Linked DNA regions of Drosophila melanogaster. The protein of the gene in region 2 interacts with the protein of the main gene of each other region in a pairwise test. Each region holds a gene or a part of one and is shown on either strand. Other genes may lie near its edges.

Region 1 (10,629 bases), on a different chromosome or scaffold from region 2:
AGGGTGATTTATCTATTATTTCTAAGCCATATCTGGATAAATTAACTTTTACTTGACTACACCTAGAATAAAATTAACCTTGATTTTAGGAAACCGTCATTGATTCAAAATATCTCCACCCATTTAAGCATCAGTGTACATTAGTTACGGATTTTTCTTTTTCTTGTAATGGCAACATACATATAAAGAAAAAAAATTTTCTTGAAAGCTTTTCTAAAACCATTGATTTAACTTTTCTAAAATGAATATTACATGGATATCTCTAGACGTAAGAAAAGTCTTCTTTGTTCAATTGCTCGTCTTTATAGCGTTTGAGAATAAAAGGTGATTTTCTAAAATCCCGGGATAATTTTTTCTCAGTGCTTCACGTTTCACATTAATCAGGTAGACATCGTTTTACCTGGAATACGCGTTCAGGGCTATAGTTAGGCATCGAATGTGTAATTCTTAAAAGGGAAAGGTACTTTTATTCGCCCATTCGGTCTCAAAAAAATCCATGTACTTTGAATTTCTAGGGTGCACAGGCATTCACAATTGCCGCCCGGTCTGACTAAGCGCAAATGGAAAAATAGAAACAAACGGATGGCGGTCACAGTGGGGGGAGCTGGGGAGAAAAAGAACGAGCGGCAATTAAGACAGCAACAAAAGCCAGCGCCACTTGTGATGGCGAGGGGACGTGATGGGTGTCGGGTGGGGCACTGCATATGCATGGGGTTAATTTTAGCAGCAGAGTTCCACTTTCACTCGTACAGCGACGACACCCACTGTGCTGCAAGCCAGTGAGTCTGCCGCGACACTTGCGCGCTTTTTGTCAAAAACTTTGGCTAATCGCCGTCAGGCACGCACACTCTGCAATCAGTTTGATGAACCTTCAACACACACACGCCTGTGTGTGTATGTGCATGTATATGAGCTGCACAACCAATGACGTTGCGCCTGCATCAATGACATCATCATCATCATCATCGCCATCAACCTCACCATCCAGTCGAGATGAGGCGAACGGCGAAAGTTTCCAGTGCAGCCGACAGCCGATAAACAGCGGGCCCCTTATCAGGGGTGACTCATGCATGTGGCATTGATCATTGGCCAGCTGATTAGGTGTCGCTGCAGCTGTGCACAGGAAGAAAAGATACCACGAGTTAATCAAAACCAAGCCGCGCAACGCAAACATATATGTATACAATGTATGATGCCGTATTGATAACACCTGACTGAGCTACAACTGGTCTGATATCTTCACGTATCAAGACAAAGTTTTAATCCATAATTATATAGTATTAATTTTGTTTTAAACCACCTGCCTCTATGTAATTGTGGTGACACGTTAAAGGGAAGCACTTGAGTTTACAAAACTCCATATCCAATAACTCTACACATGAGTTAAGCGGAGTATGTTTAATACATATTTATTAATAACAGTTTTGTCTATACAAGAATGGTTTTGTGCCCTATGCTTTAGGAAAAGTTTGAACTATCAGTTGTAGCTACTTTAATCCGGAAACCATGATGGCATGTGGTCCTACACATTTAATAGATTCTTTTTCGAGTGTACTTGGGGAATAGAGATGTCATTATAACGGAAGTGGCCGGTGAACACAACGTGTCGACAAAGCGGCAAGATTTGCAATCAAGCATTAAGTCAATTCTCGGCCAGTCCCCGATCGCTGGACCATCGCATTCGCATCAATTCAGCGACGGTTGCATCTCTCGCGATTTCAACACAAATTGCTGGAGGGCCCCACAACAGCCCCATTGTCAAATGGTTAACGCGATTACAAGACAGTCGCTGCTGAAAGTTGGTTGACACCCGCTGGTTAAGTGGCGTGCGGATTAGTTGGTTACTTTTCAATAATGATTCAGCAACAGCCTGTTTCTAATTCTGGCAGAGACGCCTCCTAGAACCAAAATCTGACTCAGGACCTTTTTCAAGACCTTTTTCAAACGGAATTCTATTAATTCTAATTATACTATCAAAATCATTATGTTATTTAACCCCATTTCATTGTTATTAAGGTATACATACCTTTCATTTATAGAGAAGTTTATTCTGATTCGTCGAAAACGTTGCAACGATTCCGACCCTATGAAGAATATATTCCTGATCAGAATCGCAGGTTATAGGTAATTTCCGAATGTACTCAAGCGAGTTTTTAGAAGAAAAGAAAAACACTGTTGAACAATTTGAGAAACTAGTGACGCTCGCACCTTTGACATCTATTGTGAATAAATATAATACTAGACTTAAACACAATAACTAGGTAGATTGTGGACTTCCATCTAATGTGAGTTTTGAAGATCCGGTACTAATTTGAACCTTTGACTTAATTTCCTTTCGAATATCTTCAGAAACAGCCTTACATTTGGGGCCCACTGTAAAGAATGGAATGCAATGTGATGCTGGGTATTCAATCACACCACCCGGGTAATGGGCGTCGGGAATGAGTTCTTCAAAGATTTTCATTTCTTCAGCGATTTTCTTGAACCCACACTTCCGTTAATCGCTGAGTGGTCCGCTGATAAAACCACCGACGGTCAAGTTGATTAAGCGCAGAAGAGGCCACTTTTTTGGCCATTGCGAGCGGAATTGCGAATGCAATTATGATCGATCGGGGAAGTGGGAGTGGATGGGGGTGGCTCGACTATGATAACTCAGGCATGGCAGGTGCCAGCGATGCCAACGAAATAAATAAACACATCAAATGCGATTTACAACGCTGCTTTGAGCATCGTGCACTGTGTTTGTATATGAAAATTTCATTTCGCCTAAGATGATTTAATTTTCTATTAATAAGTTTGACCTTCAGCCGCGAAACAAAAATTTTCCCGCCTGCAAACGAAGGTGTTTGGCATATAAACACATAAATAACAACGCATACACACGCCGCAGATATATATATATATATATAGATAGATATATTCCGGGTACAGTGCTTAGGAGTATTTTCCAGTTGGTGGCAAACATTTCGGCGTCGTTTTGGACTACATAGGCGTAGCACTTAACATTATCTCTGTGGTGTTTAGCCAACTCCGAGCTGATATTTCCTTATCAGTGGAGAGGCCATGTCGATACCCACACCCACCCAAGAACAAAGCCCTCCGGGGCTCACCTTGTGGCCAAAAACAGACAGCGTAGAAAGTAATCAATTCTGGGGTCTGCTTTGGGGCCAGTTTAAAGGGGTCAATGACAAAGTTTAGTGCTTGCAATAAATATGAATATCTTTGAGCAAAACAAAACGAAGCAACGAGGCAAAAGAGGCAAATAATTTTATGGCACTTCTCTGATTAAAAACGAAAGCTGTTCGGAGTGGAAGCCTGCCGGGCTCGGCCCAACCCAGAAATGAATTCTGCTTCAAACACGTAGCTATCTAGAAGTCTCCCGGAGTGTTAGGTATATGTTTGGGCTTAGGTTGGCCTGCGGGATCGGTTTGCTCAGCCATAACTTACGTGTTGGAAGGCTACTCATTGCTGGAGTGGCTATTTTGGCGTTATGATGTCATCCTGAAAGAAAGGGGTATGGAAAACTGATAGTTCGACACGTTCCGGCTGGCGCTTCATTAACGAAAGTGGACCCGAATGTGGCAGTTGCCAAGTGGCAGGTGAAAGCGTTCTAGGCGCCTCCCGCCGTTTCCGGCGCTTTCAGTCGCCAACATTAGTGATGCCATAAGCAATTTGATGCAACCTCTCGCGGACAAAGTCAGCGCGTCAATAGCAAGCTGCGAATGGAAAGCTCATTGATTTTCGCAACAAGCGAAATTAGCATATGCAAATTTATTGAACTAATCGAGGCTGCGAAGCGCGGTGAAAGAAAAACGCGTTAAGCTAACACATAAGTGAGCGAAGCTGAAAGCGAATAACATTGCTATTCGGTCGGTTTATGCGTCGCTCAGAACTCGGATAAGGCTAAGATCACGATTTTCAGGTTTCACAGAACTGTGTAGAAAACAAAACCTATCAAATGAGTGTTCAAATCTCTGCCAAAAAGTAGGGGTTTCATATCTCATTCAGGTGCGGAAAGAATACGGCTAAACGATTTCGCTTGAAGACTTGTTATTAAGGGCAAAGGGTGGAAAATACCAAACGCGTAAGAAATTCCCCTACATTGCTAACTATCCTTCGTACGTCTCATTTCTTTTCAGAGCTAGACGTAGAGAAGCTCAGGACTGATCGCTGACCCAAGCCACTGCAGCATCAAGATGTCATTTCGCGTAGTGCGCAGCTCCAAGTTCCGCCACGTCTACGGACAGGCTCTCAAGCGGGAGCAGTGCTACGACAACATACGGGTATCCAAGTCCAGCTGGGACTCCACATTCTGCGCGGTGAATCCCAAGTTCCTGGCCATTATCGTAGAGTCGGCGGGCGGCGGAGCCTTCATCGTCCTGCCACACAACAAAGTGAGTGCGCCACCGGACCTATTATAGTTGCACTCGTCTACGTGCGTCTGCCCCGACGCGGCCAGCTTGGTGGGGTATTTTTAAACAAGACAATGGGCAACTATTTATAGCGCCCTTTTGGCATAAAGTTTGCGGCCATTTGCGGGCTTGTTGCCACGTCGCGAGTGACGTCGACGGATTTCGCATGACTCCACCCAATCTCACATGTGTTTATAAATAGTTATAGATTCTGCTACTACCGCGGCAGCGATACTGCTAGCTGGCGCACTTTTGTAATTTGGCCACTAGCCAACATGACAAACAAATCGTCTAATTTTAGAGAGAGGCAGAGGAGCAGCCAGTTAAATGAATACAAAAATGATATTCGGGCGAATCATTGCATCGAAATGCACACTCAGCTCGGCGACTTATTCCGCTAAAAACTAATTGTTTGTATTCCACTAAATTGCATTTTCAATCTCAAAATCTTTTGGCCGTCCTGCCCCAGATTCAGCTATTCGGGCTTCTGTTTAGTTGTAGTTTTGCGCGCAGCTCCAGCAAATAGTGTGGGCAGCAGAAGCACCCATTCCCCTAATCTTCCGATGCTCCTCTTTTGATGAAAACATATATGGAAGTACACCGATGGTCGTTCCATTTGAAACAAAAATTTGTATGCAAAACGCGCGGCAAGCGATCGTTTTTTTCACTCTAAGCAGTTGCCGCTTTTTTAAGTGATGATTTCTATGTGGAGCGGCTTTCACACGCCCTATTTTACTTATTTTATGGGCACTGGATGATGAGTGAGATCCATCTAGTCGCCAAGGTTGGCCGCATGTGGCAAGTGTAGGCAAGAACAAGCACAAGTTCTTGAAAAAACCAAAATAGATTTACACTCATGGAACTCATTCGAGAAACTTTTTGGAATGATACATTTTAATACATTTATTGAAAGCGATGAACAAAGAATATTATCTAATAATATATAACAATGTTAAATTTGAAATAGTTTACCATTACTATTTGTTATAATATGCTTCGAAATATATAGATTTCGATGGGAGCTATTCGGCATTCCAATTTTCTATAATTCTAGGGCCATATTCGGAAGCAATTGGCATGAAGTTTACAATTATAAATTGCCTGCTTGGCAGATTAGCGAACATAGCAGAACCGAGTGCAGTCGGAGTCGGCTATAAATAATAATTCAGGAATTGGGCTAATGGGTCGCGAGGTTGCAGTTTTGCAATGGTTGCTGCTCATGACTTAGTCGCCATCAATTATAAAAATTTACTGTGGCGTATCGAGCTAATTGAAATTTAATGGACTCTTTCAGGTTGGTCGCATTGCGGCTGACCACCCTTTGGTGGGCGGTCACAAGGGTCCTGTGCTGGACATCGCCTGGTGCCCCCACAACGACAACGTGATCGCCTCCGGCTCAGAGGACTGTGTGGTCAAAGTGTGGCAGATCCCCGATGGCGGGCTGTCGCGAACACTCACCGAACCCGTGGTCGACCTGGTTTTCCACCAGCGTCGCGTGGGTCTGGTGTTGTGGCATCCCTCTGCGCTCAACGTGCTGCTTACCGCCGGCTCCGATAACCAGGTGAGCGAATGCTAACACTTCTTCAGAAGCCCATGCTTATACTCTCTGTATTGCGAAGGTCGTGATTTGGAACGTGGGCACTGGTGAAATCCTCGTGCACATCGACTCCCATCCGGACATCGTTTACAGCGCCTGCTTCAACTGGGATGGCTCTAAGTTGGTTACCACCTGCAAGGATAAAAAGATCCGCATCTACGATCCGCGCACTGCCGAGCTGGAGAGCGAAGCCATGTGTCATGAGGGCTCCAAGGCCACGAGGGCCATTTTCCTACGTCACGGTCTGATCTTCACCACAGGCTTCAACCGTAGCTCGGAGCGTCAGTACTCCCTGCGCGCACCGGATGCCCTTAACGAACCCATTGTCATGGTGGAGCTGGACACGTCCAACGGCGTAATGTTCCCTCTTTACGACGCAGACACGAACATGATCTACTTGTGTGGAAAAGGTGACTCGGTCATTCGGTATTTCGAGGTTAGTACAAGTAAATCTACAATATTACATATGAATATTATCTAACCAAAATCTCATCGAACAGGTAACGCCCGAACCTCCTTTTGTGCACTACATAAACACGTTTCAGACTACAGAGCCGCAGCGTGGTATTGGTCTGATGCCCAAGCGAGGCTGTGATGTGACCACCTGCGAGGTCGCCAAGTTCTATCGCATGAACAACAACGGTCTGTGTCAGGTCATCTCGATGACTGTGCCGCGCAAATCGGATCTTTTCCAGGAGGATCTCTACCCCGATACGCTAGCGGAAGACGCTGCCATCACCGCGGAGGAGTGGATCGATGGCAAGGATGCGGATCCGATCACATTTTCGCTCAAAGTAAGTGGCTAAGGTGCAGAAGCAGCTCAGACTTTTATTCCGTGTTGCGAATACAGCGCTCGCCGCCGAATGCGGCAACGGTTCGGCCACACTGCCAACCATTCCGCCGGCGATAAGAGCGTACAAGATATAGGATATATATCAGCATGTGCGCCAGCGGGGCTTGTCCACAGATGGCAATGCGGCTCGAAGTCGATGAGGCAGTCGCTGCCACTGTGGACGCCCCTTCTACAATGTATTCCAACGGCTTTTGCAGTTGCTTTTGTCTGCTAGCACAAGGACTCCAAGTGAGCTACTTGTGAGTTCCGTTTAAAGCTTACTCCCAGCATTTGCCGGTGGCTACCTACCAGCGTGTGATGCCTGCGCTTGCTTTACTTACGTTTTTTCTGCGTTATCTACGTTTGTGCCTTGTCCGCCCAGCCACATTCCACTCCAATACACAGACTACAGTCCTCGTTCTCCGTTGTACAATGTCACTTGAGACGAGGCATCTTAAGAATGTTTTAGTGACGACCGGAATAAAGAGTATTCACAATGATCTAAAATGGTTTAGTATTCTAAATGTTAGCTAACTTATTAAAGTCTCCTATTGGATACAGTAACACGCCGCATAAATGCACACTTGGCCCTAACACGCACGCGAATGCGCGTGGCGCTTGTCGTTGTGTTCATTGTTGTTTGTTGTGTTCTGAAACGAACAGATTTTCTTACCCGCCTAATCAGGATCGCGTTTCCATTGTACAGGGTGGCTACGTGTCCTCGTCGGTAAACAAATCGCTACCAGCGAAGAAGGCGGGCAACATCCTGAACAAGCCTAGAGGCGACAGCGCTAGCTCCGGTGCAACGAGCAGCAGCGCGGGCGGCGGCAACTTTGCGTCCGGAAATAACAATGAGGCTAGCGAAGGTGGACCGCCTGCAGCGGTTTTATCGGTGAGTACTTGCACTCCTTCAGCGGTTGTATGATTAACTTATTGGTTCACTTCAAAAGGAAAAGGACCTGCGCACCATACAAGACGAGATCCGCAAACTTAAGGCGATCATCGTCAAGCAAGAGAACCGCATCCGCGCTCTGGAGGCCAAGGAGGACGCCCGCAACAAGAATGGAAGCGATGCTGCGCCGGCTTCAGCGGGAGCAGCCACGTCTGACGGCAAAGCCAGTGAAAGTGCCAACGACCACGCGTCCACATCAGCCGGAACGTCAAAGGACGAGGACTAGGTCTAGCAATGAAACGAGGACTGAACTGATAAAAATGGGCGGAATGGATTGGAGGAGAGACAGAGAACTGCTTGTAGAAGCTCGTAGCTACGCTTAATTTCTCTATTGCAACAAAGCGCGCTGAGGACGAATTGAAAAAGAACTTATTGTCTATTACCATTATGGTTTCGATTATTTATTTTTTATAATTTAATATTAGCGAAATCAGTTGAGTGCGGGTGTGGCACAGATAGGGTTAGAGAATGCCGAGCTAAATCATCTAATCGAACTTAAGCGAGCATAACCGAGCAGACCTGGACGCTTAACGTATAAAACATAACATAAAACTACATCCTGCCAAAAATATATAAAAAACCTAACGAACTACCTACATTTTGCGCCCAAAATCAAGCAGAGCGAAGGGCAGGTACTCGGCCCTTTGATCGGCTTGTTGTTACGCAAGTATGAAATTGTTGTAAATTTAACAAAGGCAAATCATAGACTAAACCTCAATCACTTAAGAGTTAACACCTACCTACCAAATTTGTACGAGCTCCTTTCTGTAACGTCTGTATATTTGTACGTCCCGGAAGTTTTCATGACAATAGCTGATAGAATCGATACTGTTCATCCTAGCTGAGGCCCCCTTAATCAGTCACATTTCCCTGCAAATTGTCGTGTCAAACATAGCGAATTTAGTAAGAAAGTGATGGGGGTCATCGGACTTAATTCGTTTTCGTAATCAAAATTTTATTGTTCAAACTAATGATAAGCTGTATTTTGAAATAATAAGAGTAACAATAAATGCAACAAAATCAGAAAGAAAGTAAGAAACCATCGAAACTATTTTTATAAAAATTTGTTTACTTTTCTTTTCTTTCATTTGATTTTACTTTCATTAGTTTTGTTAGAGAACCGAGGGCGAGAGCAGCGTCATTAAACACCTACCGATTTTGTAATTCACAACCATTGTAAAATGAAGACTATATACATATACATACATAAATACTCTATATACAAATAATTTACAATTTGATACGGAATAAAACAAAATACAATGCCAGAAGAAGTTGGGTGCTAATAATGGAGGTGTTTCGTATCTAATTCTTTTCGTAATGTGTGTTCTTTTAGCAGCATTTTCAAATATGTAGATGTTAGTCGACAATGGAATTTTTACCAGCTGCACTTTAAACTAATTGACAACTTTTAATTGCAGAAATAAGCTCATCCATGCGTTATTCATTGCCGAGCCTATGTGTTCGGTTCAATTGAATATGCAAATTCGTTTAATTTTGCCTAAACAGCTTTTGAGCATACTGCCGATGTGTTGTGTGTAATTATTACCTCAGCGAGCAAACCAAAAAAATGCAATTACAATTTACGTGTACAACGATTCTGACATTTTAATTAAACTTGGCCAAGTGCGCTTTTGTGGGTGGCGCGTGGCAATTATGATATAGTGTGTTGCCGACCAAGTTGTTGATTTAATTAAAATTATGTTTGTTATGCAATTTGACTCACTGCAAGTTTCAGCGATTATCGGTTGCAGTCGGTAGCTGTGGGCCATCTTGGTTAGCCAACAGTAAAGGCCATCTAGCTGCTCTAGAGCAACCAGACGTGGACTTGATATTCGGAGTTCAACATTAAATACTATCAATTATATTAAGTAAGTTCGATCAAATTATTAACTGAGTCATAGATGCATTTGTTAACTTTGAACTAAGATTTCGTTTTTCAGACTGTCAATAAATTTCAGCCGGCGTCGAGATGTACGAGTATTTCAGTTAGTAATTAATCGTAACAAACTTTCAGTACTGGCTTAAAGTATTCCATTTGGTAATGAGGTCTTGAAAAAAGTTAACAGTCGGTTTCGGATTAGGGTAATGGAATTTGTAAAGCAATGATAGCTAAATGTGTAGGTTGTTTTATTTTTAGCGCTTTACTTGTTTAAAGACCCAATGCACAGTTTCCTCCAACCCTTCTCCAACTGTTCATAAAAAAATTATATGCAAAGGTGAAGGGTTCTTCCCTAAATAAATGTTCTATTCTACGTGGCTTTTGCACGATGTGATTAGAAATGTGATCTGGCCGTCAAATGGATGAATTAAAATGGCCATTTAAGAAGTCATTTGTCAAGTGATGTATCCATTCTTGAAATTGCTTGGTAACTTGTTTAACATTTGGCTTTCCTACCAATTTAAAAGTAACCTTCAAAAAACCAGCTGGACATCACCTAACTTTATGAATTTCCAAGGACAATTCATTACACTATATGCACTTACTGCAGCATTAGTTGTCAGTACTGTGATTATCCTTGGTAGTAACTTGGGTAGTACATTTATGCAAAAATTACATTGATTGTGCATTCTTCAGTAATCCAGACAGATTGGACCAAAGCCGCTATCAAATCAAGTTATAATCATGACTTTTGATGGGCCAGTAGATTATGATGCCCGGCGGCAGTAAAGGCCAAGCCTAATTTATGTCTACTTCCGCATCCAGGTAAGTTTACGGCCTTCTATTAACATTAACGCTCTACGATTGTCGAAACCGATGGAAGGCATTTGTTAATTAAAAGCAAGCAGCAAATGTGCCAGGAGCAGAAGGACGTGGGAACACGTGCTAAATAAA
Region 2 (6,521 bases):
GCGAAAGCCACATATTGTCTTTAATGGAACGTATCCCATTGATATGCCACTGACCCAGGGGCAGAGTCAACTCAAAAGCAACTCGTATGATCCGGAGGCCAATGCAGATCGTGGGGATCTACAGCGCTATAGGAACTACATGCTCCACGATTATGTTATAGATGAGGATGCCGAGGGCGAGGAGCAGGCCGAAGAAGAGGGCGAGGAGGATGAGTATGGAGATGGTGATGAGGATTTATTCCCCTATGCCGACGACGATGAGAGCTTCGATGATGGCGATTACTATACGCATCAACTGCTCAATAAGTATGGGATTATACCAAGCGGTGAGAAACAGAGAGTCGAGAGAACACCGGCATCCGTGGAGGCAGCTACCTCCGCGGCCCAGCCACAGCACGTGTGGTCCATGAAGGAGCTGATAGCCAATCCAGCCATACCACTTAACTACAAGAAAATGTGCTCCGAAGTGGAGCAGAGCCTCAGTCGATTCGAGAATTATTTGGACAGCAAAAAGGAGCAACAGGTGCCACCGGGAGCCGCAGTGCGCACCTTCGACATCGATGCACCCACTCGAAGAGGCCACCGAAGCAGCACATCCACAAATGCTGGCTTGGATCTTAGATCTAAGAAGAAATTGTAAACAAACTGACTGCAGTTTGCTGTTTTAGACTTAGTAATACCCACAAATGATCAGTCAGTATTTACAAATTCAATGAGTTAGGTAACAAGAAAATAAGGATGAGCAAGTGCATCGCTGCTTTTTTGGGAGCTTTCTGTACTGTACCTGGAGCTTGTCTTAGCCTGTTAGCTTGTAAATCTATAACTAGTCTTAATGCGTCCCTAAGCAATATGTTATCACTAAGCCTTATATACGATAATTGTGAGCCAGATTTTTTGACTGCGCCAGTTACTTTGAAACGTTTCCGTTGTTCATTCGATTTAACTAACCCATAACTACTCTGTTACTAACCAACCCAAAACACTCTTACCTATAATCTATGACTTATGAATAATTCGTTTGCATCACGCAGAAGACTAATTCGTTGCCATTTCTTAACTCCAACCTCAATTTTGCAATCCGCACAACAGCTGCAGCAACAGACGCGCCCGGCGATATCCATGCCCAAGTCAAAGAGCTACGGAGATGAGGACGATGGTGGTTCCGGTGGTGTGGCTGATCCTGGTCAGAAAACCAAGCCTGTAGGCTCCTCTGAGGCTGCAGGCAAACAGCAGGCGTCGGGCAAACAGGCCAACTCCGGCAGCGATCTTGGGTGAGTCCAAAATCGAATTCCAATCAAATTGGGTGTGGTGAGAAGTACAATTCAAGGAAAACAAATTAATCAAAAGCGGGAGACAAACTTCTAAATAGTATATATCATTTTGAACACAGCGCACCTGGGAATAAAAATGCGGGCTGGTTTGGCGGACTCTGGAACAAGTTGTCGCTAAAGCCGAAGAACCAAATGATCCTGCCGGATGACAAGAATCCGGCCATCGTCTGGGACAAGGAGCGCAAATGCTGGACAAACACCGAAGGCAACGGCGACGAGGCTGAAAGCTTTAAGCCGCCACCCAAAATGAGTGATCTGGGCATGGCTCTGGGAGGACCACCCGCTGCGCCAATCGGTAATGCCGGATTGGGAATGGGTTTAATGCCTGTGGCTAACAATGCGCCGGGCAGCCATCAATCAGCACCGTTGATGGATCAGCAAACGCCGTCTCAGCCGCAAACGTATGGCAGCCCCATTGATTACACGGCTGCTCCGGCACCCGAGCTGATTCCAACGGTACCATCGCCGGCTCCACTTTCTGTCCCGTCATCTGCACCGGCGGCATTAGCGGCGCCCAATCCCGCGGCCGTTCCCGGCGGACCGCAGCCCAAGCTGCAGTCGAACATGTTCAAGATGCAACGCAACCGCAGTAAGTCCGATATAAAGAAATTCAAAACTAATCGGTGTAGTTAGGAATCTGACCGACGAAGGAACTTATTCTTATTTTTCTTTCTCATTCTGCAGCGCTAAAGAACTCCTACGTGGATGTGTTCAATCCTTCGGGTGCGCCAATGTCGGCGGCACCGGAGAATGTGCTGGCCCCCATGATGGCGCCGGCTGCGGTGCCCCAAGGCGGTTACTTTGTACCCCAGCAGTAGGTAATCAGGGGAGGGACTGGCCGGAGCACTACTCCCGAGATATGGAGCATTTGACGGAGGAGGAGAGTGTGAGGGTGTGAAAAGGATTGCCCCAAATGCCAACGAGATGTGAGTTGAGACTGATGGATAGGTTGATAGGATGATGCCTGATTGATGGGGTTCCTCTCTTTTTTGCAGCAGCAGCACTTCGAAACTACGTAAAAAAGAAAGGCTTTTGCAACCGATGACCGCTCACACACACACACACGCACACACACACACTACAAACACACACAGTCATGCATTAAATTTACACACACATCCACACGAGAAAAGTCAACTTTCCAGCAGGGGAAAAGTTGGTCCTACGATATTTTCAAGATTCTACAGTTTGTTCAACTTCTGTCTGTCTGTGCTATCTTTGTGCGTGTCCTTCTACTAAATTAACTCACCCAATTTAATTGCAAAGAAAATAAAAACCTAATTTTACCAATTTGTGCGCATGTGTGCGTGTGTGTGTTTGTGTGCGATCGATGTCTTAACGTTTAGTAAATGATTTAATTGAGGGAACGATGAAGAAAGCGATTTATGTACGACTAGCGAATTATATATGTAAATTTTCTCTATGTAAACTATACGCCACCTTGATTCCTAAAAAATCCCTCAATCCCCCACCCTTTATATATCCACACACGACCTCTTCCCCGATTTCTGTTTATATACATGTTTCTTTTGTATGTTGCATAGTTTTTATGATTATTTTTTGTTTAGCTGTATGAATTTGTATTCGAAGGGAGGTCCAGACACTAATTCGGAATTCACTTTGAATATGCATTGCTGTATTTTCCACATCTAAATACTATATAACTGATCTATCTGTCTATATAACTACGAAAGCTGATATTCGATTGATTTAAGCGTTTAAGAAGCAAATGAATTGTTCTCCCTGGTTTCTCTTATCAATGTATTCTCCTCTGTGTTTCTTTTTTACAATTGGTGTGAAATATGCAAATGATTCCAATTATATATATATATAAATGTATCTTTAGAACAATTAAAATGGTTTATTCTGTTTTTTTTTTTACTATTCGTTTGAATTGAAAATGCATTTTGAAAATGTTTATTTGTTAGAACTTGTTTGTTTATGCTTTAATTTTAAATTTAAATAGTAAACAAAAAAAAAAAATAACTGGTGCAGGCAAAAAAAAAATATAAAGCAAAGAATAGGAAGAATGAAAGTAATATAATAAATTTATATAGGTATATACTGGCACACATATGTATTCTGTACAAATCGAAATGCTAATTGGTATATCAAAATTAAACTACAGATCCTTCAAATAGGGACAAACTGCTGTGCATTGACCACAAAACTCTGTACTCAAAATGTGTACACAAATTACGATTAATCCCAAGGCTCTGTAACTTGATTTTTCCAACTTCTTTATATATACTTATATTATGATGATCATGATTGATTGGTAATATGATGATGTTGATAATAATGGAACTAGATCGAAACGAAGTGTGGTATGAATTATTAATGTTTAATAAGCCTAAAATAAAAATCAAATCAAATGCGTATGAGAAAATACAGAACTTATGTAAAAATATAAAAGCTAATTGTTTTAATTACACGGGACCGTGTTTTGCTGGTGACCAATTCTGGGCAGGCAATAGTACTATAGTTCTTGGTTTCTACAGTACAACACTTTGTCTGTAGAGTGCCTCGAATTCTTCGTCGTCTTCAGTCTCACTAACATCTTCACCAGCAAATGCTGCAGCCAGTTTATAGTACACATCATGTGAATCATCTAAGTCCTCCGCAACTGCGTTGGAGGATGTTCCTGGTTTGGTTACAGGCACCTGCTCTTCGTGCTCTTCCTCGAATTCCTCACCTTGATAGATGAAAATGAATATATGAAATTGTCGATTTACACATGAAAACATACTGCTGTCGATGGCTTCATATCCTCCTGGTGGCTTCGGATCGTAGGTGACCAAAATGGTGGGAAACTCCACGATGGTTTTGCCGACTAGATTCTCGGCCAGCGTTTTGGTCGAGTCCAGGAGATAACACCTCGTAGAGCTGCGTCGCACGCCCTCGGCTCTAAGCCAAAAACTCAGCTGACCAATACCGGCAGTCTGATGGTTGGCCAGCAGTTTGCGTTGTTCCCGTGCCGTCTCGTGCCGCAGATCCACATACTTGGCTACCAGATCGGGCAGCGTGAGCTCCTCATTGCATTCCTTGTCCACAAATCGAGTTACATTCCGGGGAAGGCTTGCCTCGTATGGAATATTTGCAAACAGCCACTCTATACGCCAATGGAATCGTCCCAGTTTCCAGTTTAGATACGTGGTGTTCTCCTTGTGCCGACTGAAATTCTCCAGTTGCAAGCGCAGATTAATGTTACGCTTCTTGGCTGCCATCCGCATGCGATGTTGAGTCACTGGGAGATTCCTTTGGTCGTGGGTAAATCGCTTGCACGGATCGGATTTTCGATTCTCTGCATAGCGTGTGCACTCCTCCAAGAAGCAGTAGTCACTCATGAATTCCCGCGAGGTCATCTCGCTCAGCGGTACGAACTTGGTGCGATCCCGCTGGCCATCGCAGTTGAGCTCCTTCTTATGGATCTGGACGCAGGGCAGGCTGCATGTTTTCACCTCGCATTTGGGACATGCGTAGCAGGCCTCCTTTGCGGCGCACACCTCGCACATTCCCAGGCGCATAGTTCTGTGGATTCTCGTTAGTTATTAGATTACAAATAAAAACAATTGGGCAGTACCTGGTCTTAGTGCTGGTCTCATCGGCCATCGTCGTCTGTATTCATTTCAATTTCAGCTGAACCCACGTGTTGGCATTGTTTACATTCAATAGTGCTGACCATCTGATGCTGGCCTAGCTAAAAGTAGCTAAATGAAAAGGCTAAAAATATAGCTAACGTAAAGGTTATTTATTTTTAACAATGTTTAGTTTGTTTAGTATAGTTGTTTAGTTACATTTTTTTTGTTCAAAAGTGTTCATATTTGAATACTACGATTTAAATGTATAGAGTGTAACGCCATACGTTTGAGATTTTTCATTAGCTAGATTCGCCTCGAAAATTGCCACCTTGGCATGCATGTCGCTGAAACAGCTGTTCGCTGTACTCATGTTATTTTGTGTTGTTGTGCTCGCATGTTTTATGGTTTTGCTGTTACGTTGATTTCATTGCAACACAAATAGTGCGTTAATTAAACAGATTGCTAATCGAGTGAGTGCGAAATCACCTGGAAGTCAAAACAAGTTTTATTTGCTCATTCTAATGAACATAATAAGCAATGTTTATTTGCACAGCGTGTGGGTCGAAGGCTGCGTAGGTGTGTGCGCGATGTTTTTGTTATCGAGCTTGTATATCTATTTATCGCAAACGATAGCAACTCCCCGTTATACATTTTGTGGCGCAATATTTGAATACGCACATTTTGTAACTAGATGTTATCAGTTATTATAATTAGATGTGTTGTGCGTATAAAAAGTCTTATCGGTCAATTGCTCTAGCCTACAATTTACAAGCCACGCACACGCGCGCCTGTCGCATATGATCTACCCCAATTTTAACGCTGTTTCCGTGCCGATTAGATTTTGTTTATTTACCAGTTTTTTTTTTGTCATTAGATACCACCGCTCAATCACCTGTGAGTGAAAACTACGAGTGAGCCGAAGAGCCGTTCGTCGGAGGTCTACGATTCCGGCTCTATTGATATGGCTGCTTGTCTGTTGCGCTACTTAGTTCGACAGAGTCGCAAGCCCAGATCACTGGTCGTCAGTAGAGAGAGCTCCCACTGTAGTAGAATGAGCACCTACAGTACGGTGACCAACCTCAGTACAGTGAAAATGCAGCGCATCCAGCACCTGGCGGCATTCCGATCGGGTGTTAGCCTGGCGGAACGCGTACTTAATCCACCACAGCAGAGTATTAATGGAAATCATGTCTCGGGCAATATCCAATGCAGCAGCGATAACAATAACAAGGATACAAATGCAGCCTTTGAGGTAAATCTAAAACAATTCCCAAGTCCCAAGTTGGAAACCAACAGATACAATTTTTAATTACTTTGTCATAGTTTTATTACCTATTACTTATTAATATCATACCTTTGATTTCACAATCGTAGCATTATCTTTTCGATTTCAAAAATGAGATTATTCTAAATCTAAATAATAAAAACCATTCATGTGTTTTCAGAATTATGTGTGTGATTAATATGAAATTTGGTATTACAGTAGCAAATGTTTCATCTTCAGTGTGAAATGTTTCTATATGTCATGCTGACCCAGCTAAATACCAAATTCGTTTGTTATTAATTAATTAATTTCCTACCGTTTTCAGTTGGCCATTAAGCAGTTAAA

Evidence for each region. Proteins that work in one complex are often made in the same cells at the same time.
Region 1: the proteins of CG1463 (region 2) and coro interact in a two-hybrid assay, tested with the Drosophila melanogaster proteins (one large-scale study listed by BioGRID).

The regions. Positions count from the first base shown.
Region 1 is NT_033778.4:6,860,452-6,871,080, reverse strand, and holds coro (coronin), read left to right. Parts: upstream 1-3,285; 5' UTR 3,286-3,514; intron 3,515-3,556; exon of another isoform or gene 3,557-3,599; intron 3,600-3,940; exon of another isoform or gene 3,941-4,084; intron 4,085-4,139; 5' UTR 4,140-4,196; coding exon 4,197-4,394; intron 4,395-5,196; coding exon of another isoform or gene 5,197-5,214; intron 5,215-5,706; coding exon 5,707-5,973; intron 5,974-6,031; coding exon 6,032-6,445; intron 6,446-6,509; coding exon 6,510-6,803; intron 6,804-7,526; coding exon 7,527-7,733; intron 7,734-7,791; coding exon 7,792-8,019; 3' UTR 8,020-8,821; downstream 8,822-10,629.
Region 2 is NC_004354.4:12,606,609-12,613,129, forward strand, and holds CG1463 (uncharacterized protein), read right to left. Parts: upstream 5,001-6,521; 5' UTR 4,944-5,000; coding exon 4,915-4,943; intron 4,863-4,914; coding exon 4,081-4,862; intron 4,027-4,080; coding exon 3,827-4,026; 3' UTR 3,369-3,826; downstream 1-3,368. Other genes in the region: Sec16 (secretory 16), read left to right, coding at 1-640; Fpgs1 (folylpolyglutamate synthase 1), read left to right, coding at 5,874-6,164, 6,502-6,521.